Linked DNA regions of Rattus norvegicus. The main gene of each other region encodes a partner of the protein of the gene in region 3 in a complex. Links are inferred from orthologs where the notes say so. Each region holds a gene or a part of one and is shown on either strand. Other genes may lie near its edges. The genes, in order: Polr2f, Tbp and Taf1c.

What was found.
Region 1: Taf1c (region 3) and Polr2f share a complex: the UniProt entries of both Homo sapiens proteins name them as parts of the pol I pre-initiation complex. The link is inferred for Rattus norvegicus from reciprocal best matches to the Homo sapiens genes TAF1C and POLR2F.
Region 2: Taf1c (region 3) and Tbp share a complex: the UniProt entries of both Homo sapiens proteins name them as parts of the transcription factor SL1/TIF-IB complex. The link is inferred for Rattus norvegicus from reciprocal best matches to the Homo sapiens genes TAF1C and TBP.

Annotation. Positions count from the first base shown.
Region 1 is NC_086025.1:112,599,507-112,603,202, reverse strand, and holds the end of Polr2f (DNA-directed RNA polymerases I, II, and III subunit RPABC2), read right to left. Parts: intron 1,070-3,696; coding exon 998-1,069; intron 826-997; coding exon 735-825; 3' UTR 694-734; downstream 1-693. UniProt on the Homo sapiens protein: DNA-dependent RNA polymerase catalyzes the transcription of DNA into RNA using the four ribonucleoside triphosphates as substrates.
Region 2 is NC_086019.1:65,135,324-65,138,923, reverse strand, and holds the start of Tbp (TATA-box-binding protein), read right to left. Parts: upstream 2,217-3,600; 5' UTR 2,059-2,216; intron 1-2,058. UniProt on the Homo sapiens protein: The TFIID basal transcription factor complex plays a major role in the initiation of RNA polymerase II (Pol II)-dependent transcription.
Region 3 is NC_086037.1:64,565,166-64,568,988, forward strand, and holds the start of Taf1c (TATA box-binding protein-associated factor, RNA polymerase I, subunit C), read right to left. Parts: upstream 2,435-3,823; 5' UTR 2,372-2,434; intron 1,615-2,371; 5' UTR 1,614-1,614; coding exon 1,476-1,613; exon of another isoform or gene 667-1,475; coding exon 585-666; intron 459-584; coding exon 361-458; exon of another isoform or gene 290-360; coding exon 200-289; intron 194-199; exon of another isoform or gene 126-193; coding exon 52-125; exon of another isoform or gene 1-51. UniProt on the Homo sapiens protein: Component of the transcription factor SL1/TIF-IB complex, which is involved in the assembly of the PIC (pre-initiation complex) during RNA polymerase I-dependent transcription.

The DNA.
Region 1 (3,696 bases), on a different chromosome or scaffold from region 3:
TGACTCTACCCCAGGATATGAAAGGAACTTCCTGAGGTGGGAGGCAGGATGCACAAGAGGGCCCACTGAGGCAGGAGAGGGACTCAAACTCAGGTCTGAGGAGCAGAGGGCACAAGGTAGTAGATCAGAAAGGTAGGCCATGGGGGCACTGAGTGGCACTGGCCTGGGACAGAGTGGTGATAGGGCTGCAGTTGCTGCCTTGCCCAACAGGGCTCTGCCTGGGGACAGTGGGGGATCACTGCACCCCCACGCTTCCTGCTAAAGCACCGCTCCTGAAAGGGGATCTGAGTCCTCGATAAGAGCTCAAGGCAGGTCCCTAGGAACAATGGCTGGCTTGATGAAACCTGCTCTGTGATACTCCTGAGAAGGGAGAAGCCCCTGCAGCCAGTCCCCACTGGAAAGGAAATTGGGGGTTTCCGTGGCAACCAGCTCCCTGGGCACAAAGACTCATCTGTCTGCTGAGAAGGCAGCTGAGGTGTCTCCCTGCAGCAGCTTTTGCTCTGGTGCATGGGGAGAGATGGAGGGATGGGATGGGGGCCCTGGTGCTTTAGAAAGAGCTAACAGTCACAGGGTCACCTCAATGTATGCCCATCCTGTAGTAGGGCAGGAACAAGAAAGCAGCAGGTGTCAGCATGCAGGCAACAGGGGCAGAGGGGGTGTGAAGAGTGAAGTTTATTATTTACATGTATAAAATGGGCATAGAGATGGTGCCTGGCACAGCCTGACAGCTCTGCTCAGTCGCTGATGATGAGCTCATCCACGCCCCAATCCTCATAGCTTCCATCTGGCAGGTAACGGCGAATGATGATGGGGATCTTCCGGGCCCTGTGTGGGGAGAAGTCGAATGAAGTGAGAGCTGGTGCCCTGGCTCCCAGCAGAGAACAGGTGGTAGTAGCACGTGTCACAGAAATGCCCTCCCTTGGCTCCCGGGGGCTGGCCATGCATGAGCCACAGGTCTAAAGAGGCCCGAGATACTCTGAAGGAGGGGCAGACTTACTTGAGTTCCTTCATGGCGATGAGCAAAGGGTCTGTCTCCCCCTCCAGCTCCACCATTACTGGGGCACACATCCTGCAGAGACAGAGAAAGATTGGAGAGACAGCAGACAAGGCTCAGAGAAGGTGGATCTGCTGTCCTGATCCTCATCTAGCAAGGTCACCTGGACAGGCAGGCCTGGTGGCAGCAGTGTTCAGGGAGCCACCACTGAGCAGAGGGAAGGCTGGCAGACTGGATTTAAACTGTGCCTGTAAGCACAAGTCACCGAATTTCTCTCCACATCCCAACAGCCTCTTCTAAAATTGAAGAAGAGATCCCTACCTCACTGGGGAAACAATGACAAAAACCAGATAGCAGACAGGCTCTGCACGCCAGACACTGACAGCTACCTGCCATGACCTCTGCCTCAGTGGGAGAGGCCTACTTTGACTTCCACTTTACTATCATGGAAACTAGGTACAGAAAGGTGAAGCTCTAGTGTACAGGAATGCCAGGGTGTTGCGGTGGGAGTGGGAACATCTTCATAGAAGGGATAACATTTGAAATGTAAATACATAAACTATCCAATATAAAAGGTGTCCTGCCCCAGGTCACGTAGGCAGAGAGGCAGAGCCAAGGTCTGCTCCTCACCACTGTGCTGGGATATGTCCCAGGTAACATACTGAAGTCATCTGCATGTCATACCCCATCAGAGAAGGCCCTGCATAGCAACACCCCCAGAAGAGTGACACTCTTCCAGCCTGGCCCCTCATTCAAGCCAGAACAAACTTCCATGCCTCCCCTAGGTTATGGTTAAGTGTCCCCCAAATTAAGATGACGACGGTATTGGAGAAGGAGCTCTTAGAAAGCCACAAAGGGGCTGGAGAGATGGCTCAGTGGTTAAGAGCACTGTCTGCTCTTCCAGAGGTCCTGAGTTCAAATCCCAGCAACCATATGGTGGTTCACAACCATCTATAATGAGATCCGATGCCCTATTCTGGTGTGTCTGAAGACAGCTACAGTGTACTTATATATAATAAATAAATAAAAAAAAAAAATTAAAAAAAAAAAAAAAAAGAAAGAAAGCCACAAAGGTGTGACCACCATGATAGCCTAAGTGGCTTTATTAAAGGAAGAGAAATCCAAGCTAGCAAGGTTGCTCAGTTCTACCAAATAACAGCACTCTGCCATATTACGATGCAGCTTGAGGCCCCACAGGTGAGTTGCCATGTTCTTGAACCTTCTAAGCTCCAGGACTGTGAGCCAAATGTACTAAGCCAGAAGCCTGTCCTCTGGACTTCTGTCACAACATGGACAACAGGCACAGATCCCTTTCATTTCTACTCTCTGTCCTCACCCACCTCTGTCTCCTTTTTTTTATTTAAAGATATACTTAATTTTTTTTTTTTTTATGTGAGCACTCTGTTGCTCTCTTCAGACACACCAGAAGAGTGTCCCATCGGATCCCATTACAGATGGTTGTGAGCTGCCACGTGGTTGCTGGGAATTGAACTCAGGACCTCTGGAAGAGCAGTCTGTGCTCTCAACCATTGAGCCTTGGGAATCTGTCTTCTGTGCCCCCGGTGAGTTAAACATGCGTTTCTTGGCATCAAAGCCACCATACTACTGTCCACACCAGACTATGAACATCTGTCTGGTGGCCCAGAACCACACATGATCCACTATGAGGGCCCAGGCCCCAGCTAATGCTTGGTCCAAGCAAAACTTCCAATGGCAAACAAGGGCACATCAACTCCAGGCCTGTCTCCTGCAGACAGACGCTTCTAATAACCCTGGACAGCCTGACGCCAATAGATTCAGACTTACGAACAAGCATCCAAAATCAAGGGCCAGTGCCTTCTCCAGGCCATAAAAGACCAATGATTTTCTTATGTGTATGGGTGTTTTGCTTACATGGAGGTTTCCAGTGCCTTTGGAGGACACTGGATACAAGAGCACCAAGTGCTCTTAACTGCTGATCCAGACAGAATCCCTCAGCTCATGAGGGGGTCTGAGAATTATACCTTCAGAGGTACCTGGGTGACTCTGGGGACCACCTTGAGACTGACATTTATTAGTTTGTGACTAAATATTCTGGTCTCTGCTAATCCTAAAATCCTGAAATTTTCCAAAGAGCAGAAACCAAATGTCTTTTCTGACATAATGAAATGTCCCCAAAACTTGACGTATAGCTCAGCAGTAAAACATGTAAGGTCCTGTTTAGTTTGCCATACATACACAGAGTGCTTTACATAAGTAACCATTGACCTGACCGGCCGTGTCCACTCTCTCCTCACATCACAGCAGTAACTGAAGGGCATCGCTCATCAGTGCCCCACAGACATGCAAGCGCAGGCTTTGAAGTGACTGTCTTGTGCTGCAGCTACTAAAATAAACATGTCACCATCATCCAGTGAAGATGAGGTGAGTGACATCAGCCAGCAGGTGGCGCACGCAGGCCAGACTGGACTCGCCAAAAGCTATCCAAGATGGCATTTCATTCAGCCCCTAAGCAAAGGTACAGCCCAGGCCTCAGTGTACAGAATCCAGCCTGGCTGTGCTTGAACAGAGGGCATGGGCTCCCTAGGGGAAGGAACACTAAAGCCCGGACTAAGCAGGATCCATCTTACTCCCACAGAGTATGACCATCCAGTTGGCTTAGACTGAGTTGTCAGGACGCCTCACTCCTGTGAGTGTTCCACACTGGCTTATCAGACACGAGT
Region 2 (3,600 bases), on a different chromosome or scaffold from region 3:
CTTTGGATATACAATTTGTAACTTTGAAACCTGTGTGTTCTTTGTGAACTTAGACAATAAATGTTTAGATTAAGATCAAATTGTAGGGTGTGAGAGATGGCTCCAACCTGGTTCTCTGGAGGAGTAGGCAGTGCTTGTAACCTCTGAGCCATCTCTTTTAAGAACCAGCATCAGGGACCAGCCCTTTGTACCACCTTCACCCTCATGCCCCACCCCCAGCAAAGGCCTCGGCAAACTAAAGGCCGAGGGAAAACTAATTCGTAAGCAAACTGTACTGTAAGAAAAGAACACTTACTAGGCACTGTTTGTACAGCTCTATTAAGTCAATTCTGGTTTTATACCATTCCCAATACCTCAAGCTTAAAGTATCATATTGAACTGGACACAATATGCTTTAGGTAATCATTTTTTGTGTGTTCTAATTTTAATTAAAGGCAGACTAAACAACAGATGAAACATTAGCTCATTAGATCACATTAATTCAAACCACGCCTGGAACTGAGTTTCTTAAATCATCAGCTCTTTAGTGGTCATGGATGTGAAATATGAATATGGATTAGGAGACTATGAAATGTGCTCTCTTTTCCTTTGTAAAGGCAGTAGTGATAGAATCCAGAGCCTCCTAAATGGCAGGCAAACGCCCATCCTCAATTCCTTAAAGATACTTTATTTTTAAAAATCAGCTCAGTTCATATAGACCAATGGCTTGCTCAGAGATGCCATAAGAAGTGAACGAATCAACATTCCAGATACAAAGATAAAGAGGATACGGTCCTTATCAAACAGTTCGGTATAAAACAATACGGAGACAACTATAAATACTTAGCAAACACTAAAACTGCAGGCGTTTACGAAGTAAGGCAAGCTATTGGAAAGCTGAAACCAACATTAGTGTCTTCAAGACACCTGCACCTACCTATGACTGGTCTCGGCATTTGTGACCGTGAATGAATGTTATGGAAGAGTACAGATTAGAGTCAAGAGGTGGCAGAATGTTCTGCAGTCAAGAGCACTGCTGCTCTTCAGAAGGACTAGTTTTGATTCCTAGTACCCACATAGCTACTTACAACTAGCTATAAATCCAGTCCCAGGGAATCCAAAGCTCTCTTTTGTCTTCTATGGGCCCGGGCATGCACGTGATACACATAAAGACATATAAGCAAAACAGTCATATATGTAAATCTTTTAAAAGTTAAGACGGAATTGAAGTACCCTTTCCAGAGGTCTGAGCTCTCACAAAGCAGGGACAATCTAACACAGGTCTAGCAAGAGGAACAAAACCACACAAATCAGCACTATCGCAGTACAAGTCACAGACATGAAAGGGGGACAAAGCCTTGCATGTAGTATGTGACAGGCTTAGAATGTAAAGTCACTACAAAAGATGACAAAGCAGCTAGCTGTAGATAGGGTTGCATAATTCAGGGTATAAGATGTCACTACACAGACAATGGGAACAGTTAAAGGATGTTAAGGTGCAGTTTGAATATCTTCTTGGTCCAAGAGCGGATAAATCTGAGAAAACTGAAGACTGAAAATTCAATTTCAGAGATCACTGTTTTGGTTGGGGAAAAAAAAAAAGGCTGGATTTAATGTCCAAAGTATAACCAGAGATTTATCCAGATCACTTTCTGCAAACAAAGTTTACTGAACGCTCGCTTATATAAGACTGGGGAATGTGTAGTATCCTTCGCTGAGGTCATCTCACACCTGCAGACGATATTAAACTACCTTTTCTCATCTGCATCTTAAAACCGCAATAATCGCTGCACAAACTTATTTTTAGGTTGTTTTCAACTTTTGGAAACTGAGCCATCAAACTGAATATTTGGGAAACCAATTCTGCAGTCTTCAAGCGTCTGCTTCACCCAGTCCGGCATCTTTTCCCAGAAAAGCCTACCCGGAGTTTTGGAAAACCACGTTAACTCGAACCTAAAGACTGACAGCGTGTAAATAAAGAAGCGTGCGTTTTTATGTTAAGCTCGACTGAGCTTGAATCTCGAGCTTCTGACGAGATGCTCCGTCTCAAGAACCGCTTCCTAATAGAATTATTCTTACTGGGGACAAAACGAGCAGCCGCAGGCCTGGGTAAAACTGTCTTCCACCGGGGGAAGCAGCTGAGATGTACGGTGCGCCGAGCTGTCCGGTGCCAGCCCCTTGGAGAGGCTCACACTTGGCACTGGATTTCATGACCCCGCCGAGGCGGTGGTCCAGAGACTGGTACTCCCGGAGCCGCCGCAGCCCGCGCGGAGGACCGTTCCCCGCCCGGCCGCGCGCCCATTCCGCGTCTCCTCCGGCAAACTCCAGGGACCCGCTGCAGAAGTCGCTTTTGTTAAGGCCTCCAAGCAGAGAAAAGGATGAAAGAACCGTTACCTGGGCACTGCGGAGAAAATGACGCGACCGCAGAAACCTAGCCAAACCGCCAGCAGATACCCGCCACCGCTACCGGACTCGACCCCACCGAACGCCTGACGCACATCTGATGCCGTCACTTCCGCCAGTTGCGCTCTCGACTGGAGCCCGGCTTGTTGTGCTTAAACTGTGAGACACTCGTGAAAGAAAGGGGTTGGGTTGGTGTCCCAGCATTTTCGGGACCAGGCCTCTGACCGCCCTTTCTAGCTGTCAAAGAGAGATGTAGAGTGTGTAGCGGGAACAGTATTGGGGATGTGGCTATGGGGATCAGGCTCAAGCAAGCGTTCTACCACTGAACTGTATACATCCTCGATCTTCCACGTGTTGTTTTTGTTTTTTTGAGAGTTTCTCCTTGTCGCTCTGGCTGTCTTGGGACTCACTCTTGTAGAACAGGCTGGTCTTGAACTCAAGAGATCGCTTGGCAAGCTCACTGGGTCCTCCACTTTGCTCTGTAGAGTTGAATGATAGTAGTAGTTGCCTCTTAGAGATTTGTGAGATGGATAACGTGAATGGCAAGCAGACGCTTCTTATTATGTTCTCAGTAAATGTCAACTTGCGTCCAAAGAGGAACAGCAAAACAAGCGGCTTTGTAGTCACAGACTCATTTCTATTTTAACTCTGCTACTACCAGCTCTCGTCCTTGCTGTCACAAGAAAACGTCAGCTGTTTCTTAGACTGGTTCTTAATGCTTGATTTGATTCCAACATACCTTAATTTTTTCCTTCCATGGTTCACCTAGGCATATACATGTGTTGTTGTGCTTACTCCCCCCCCCCCCGGTGTGTGTGTGTGTGTGTGTGTGTGTGTGTGTGTGTGATAGAGAGAAAGAGAAAGAGAGAGAGAGAGAGAGAGAGAGAGAGAGAGAGAGAGAGAGAGAAGAGAATCTGTGTGTTGTGTATAGCTGTTGAATAGGTTGCCATATGCATAGACTCTAATAAGTACAATAGTATTGTGTATCTATTTTCTCCTAAAGGAAACATTTTCTCTTGGAAGTACAGGAAACCACAGAAGACTGGGGAATTAAGAAAACTTAACAAAGGCCTGACAAGAGACAATTTATGGGAAGCAGATTTATTTTGGCTTAGTGCTTGAGGGGCTACAATCCAGGGGAGAGCATGACACCTGGACTGCATCCACAAATCGGAAGCATAAATTAGATAAATATTAGTTCGCTTCTTTATTTAGTCC
Region 3 (3,823 bases):
CCACATCCCACCACAGGTCTGTCCGTGGCTGCTTTCTCACTGGCTACTTGCCCCCAGGGCTGGTGTCCACCGAGGTCCTGAAGCAGCCTCTTCACGCTGACTATGGTCACCTTTTTCGAGTAGCCCTGCAGGGAAGGCCTGTCAGGTTTGCACCCAGGGAGGTGGCTGACCATCCACCCAGCCAGTGGTGGCTCCTTACCCGGTTCCCCTCCAATCTGAAGTTCTCCAGCATGAGTTTCCCCAGGGGTGCAAAGGCTATATCCCCATGGTCCCACAGGAAGCGGCTGAGCTGTGGGGAATGGCTGTGTGAGTCAGCATAGCTCAGGCTGTGAGAAACAGTCCCACCCAGAGACCGTTTACCTGCTCAGTGACATCCAGCACAACTCGAGACTGGTACTGGTAGTAGTGACCTCCCCGGAAGAGGAAGTCCTGAGCTGCCAGACCAGGGTCCCAGGGATCTAAGGGGAGAAGGAAGTCAGAGAAGAACCTGAGAGGGAATAGGGAGGTATCTGCAATCTGGGATCCCCTTGTCCATGCGATGGCTAAGGTCCTTGGAGGGAGCCCAGAAGGAGAGAGACTCTTACCAGGGCCAGGAGGCACCAGGGGCAGGGGTCCTGGTGTCGATGGCTCCCACAGCAGGTTCTTGGCAAAGGACGATGTCTGGTCCTAGGGATACAGGGCAGCAATAACATGGCAAGTATGCGCTCCCTGCCCTTAACCAACTCAGTCGTCGTGACAAATCTAAAAAGCTAGTCACTGTGCTAATGTAGAACCCGAAGGGTGAGGCTGCTGTCACTTGCCCTAGGTGACAGTCAACTAAAAACAGGCATAGACTTGAACCCAGGCAACCAACTCCAGAGCCTGTATTCTAAACTCCATTCATAGCAGCTTTCAAAGGAAGCACCTATATCTTGACTGTCCCACCCAGAACGCAATGAGCTCCAATTTTCTCAGCCACTTCCTCTGAGTCCTGTCATTCAATGGGTTCCAAGTAGGTACCAACAAGTCTCCCTTGTCCCAAGGACCAAGAACTCCCCTCCCCCAATACCCTCTCTTTGACCTGCTCCCCTCTACGTACTCAATACAAGGCAGCTGAAGATGGCCTTCCCAAGAGCAGAAATCCTGTCCCCTTCCCCTGCCATTTCATGATCTAGTAGAGCCAAGGCCACACTACACAGGGTCTGCCCATCGGCGTACTGTCTCCCACCATAACTGGCAGTCCCTTGGGTGGGTTTGCCTGACCTCCTCATGGTGGGCTCTTGGGCCTGTAAGGACCCTAACACAGAGACACTGGCTAATAAACATTTGCTGAACCCAGGGAGAGGGAGCAAGGAAAGAGGAGCTACAGCCTCTATTGAGAGATTCTGTCTGGATAGTAGGGCGGCCGGTGCACAGCACTAGCATCTGCTGGGACCTCTTTCTCCGATAAGTGAATGAAGAAGAGACCAAGGAAAGGACCCCACTTCCATCCTCACCCTGCAGTTCTGTGGCTGGGCCCCTGGCAGGGTCAGTGCATCTCTCCAGCTGCACATGAAGGACAAGTCGGGGCCATCAGTCATGCCAAGAGGACCGGCCATAAACAACGAAGGACGCAGGGTGCTGGGGAAGTCCATCCTGGAGACAATGTATCTAACGTTACACAGGACTTCATTAAGAGTCTCAACAGTGCCCCAGGGCTCCCAGAGAGCACACAGTGCCCGCAGGGGAGACCACTACAAGACAGCAGGTAAAGACCAGAATCTGCAGCCTAACGCCAGAGCTGCTCACTCCCAATCACAAGGGAGTGCTCCCTTGGGGCAGCCAGGGAGATAGCTCTGTGCACACCTTGGAAGAGGGGCTGGGGAGAATGACCGGTGAGCGCAAGAGGTCCCGAGGCAGGTAAAATGCCAGAGATAGGCAACCGCTGAATATATGAACGGGAGAGTGAGAGGACCAAGTGGGATGTTAATGAGAGCTGAGCGGTCTTCAATCAGGCAGACTTTCTTCCACCCCTCTGTGGGCGTACCAGAGCTGCGTACTATTCCGGCTTTCCCGGCCAAATACAGGCTTCTCCCGAAATGCCCGTGGTCTGAGTTAAAGCAGGAACTCTCTTCAAGCGGTAACTGTCAAACAGTCCTCATTTTTAGTAAAAATTAAATCTTACATCCGACCGGCCGAGCTGCTGGACGAGATGTGATGGCTCTGAATTTAAGAGTCTAGGAACTGAAGACCCGTAATCTGCTCACAAGTTTTCCGGGACCGCCCTCCCTCATGGCAAACATCTAGGATAAGACTCAGCGCTGGAATCGGCCTGCTCGAGAGCCATGTGGCCTGCCACGTGCTCTCAGCATCCCCGCACGCGGGCCCTGCCGGTTCCCGGCAACAGTCTCACCTGATCCCGGGGACACAAATGAGCCGGACTGCCACTCCTCAACGCCGCCACCCACAACTACTGGAGCATTGCCACCCAGACTGAACTAGTTTCCGGGCCGGGCCGGAAATGCTCCAGTGAGACAGGAAGTCCCGCCCCAGCTCACCTCACTATGTCCTCCAGCGCCACCTTCAGAGCAGGCGGCGAATTGAACCGAGCTGTGAAATTCCCATCGTCCTGGTGTTGGACGATCCTGCCTCCACTTCATTAACTTCCTATCTTACAAGAGTGTTGGGAAGTTTAATTGATCCTCTCAACAAACAACTGAGCAGCACTGATGAGCCACTCACTGTATTTGTTGCCCACAAGTTCTAGAATCCTCTTCACAGACGCCTCTGGGTGCATGCATGGCTTAAACCGGGGAACGGGAATGAATATTAGGTTGTCCTCTTGGGGGATTTTTTCAAATTCACAGGCAGCAAGTCCTGGGCGCTGCCTGTAGGTTGCCTTGGCCCTGGCACTATGACATGAAACTTAGGATGTGTGGCTCTGCTGACCACTCGCTTCTACACACCTGGAGGCTAAGAATGTCTTCAGATAGAATCTTGAGACAAGGAACAGATCTGCTTCAATGTAACCTACCTACATGACATTCCCACCAATGTATTTGAAAGCTTCTTTGGGTTATGACTTCCCTTTGTTCTGTAATTATCAAGACTTCATAAATCGGTCTCCAAGGTGGAGCAGGTTACTCGGGGGGACCTGAATCTGTGTTCCTGAGTCTATGCATAAAGGATCTCTAAAGGAACAGAACTGATTGAGTATAGAATGGAGGTGATTCTATTAGACTGGCTTACAGGCTGTGATCGGGGTAATCTAATAATAGTTGTCTTATGACAGAAAAGGCAAGGAGAATTTGGTAATGTTCTGTCCATGAGGCTGTCTGTCTGAGCAGTTCTAGTCTGGTGCTGTAGTCTGTGAGGTCTGAATTGAACCTCTTCCAGGACCCCCTGAATGAGACCCACGGAGGCAGGTGACTGACGCAAAAGCAAGAGGGGTCTAATCATTCCGACATGTCAGGGTCATCCCACTTCAAGAGGAGACAACCCTAAGAGCAGACTCTAACGGAGTTATATACCTTGCAAACAACTGGGGCGGAATTTGGACAATGGTAACCAGGCAGGGTACTATGCTCATTTAGTGAAGCCAAACAACGTTCTTCTGATCGACTCTGTGTACCATTCAGTTGGGAGTCAGGTAACTTTGTGTGACGGTTTGGCTTGTAGCTGTTCCAGGACCTAAACCAGCTTTTTTCTTCTTCCTGGAAGGGAGGGGTCCTTGTGCTTGGAGGTTTGTGGTAGGAATTTTCCCACTGGCTCCAGATTGGTCCCTACTCGGGCTCTTTCACACCCCCCCTTTTCTTTTAGCATAGCTTCAATCTTGAAGCTTATAACCCTCTAGTTCATACTCTTG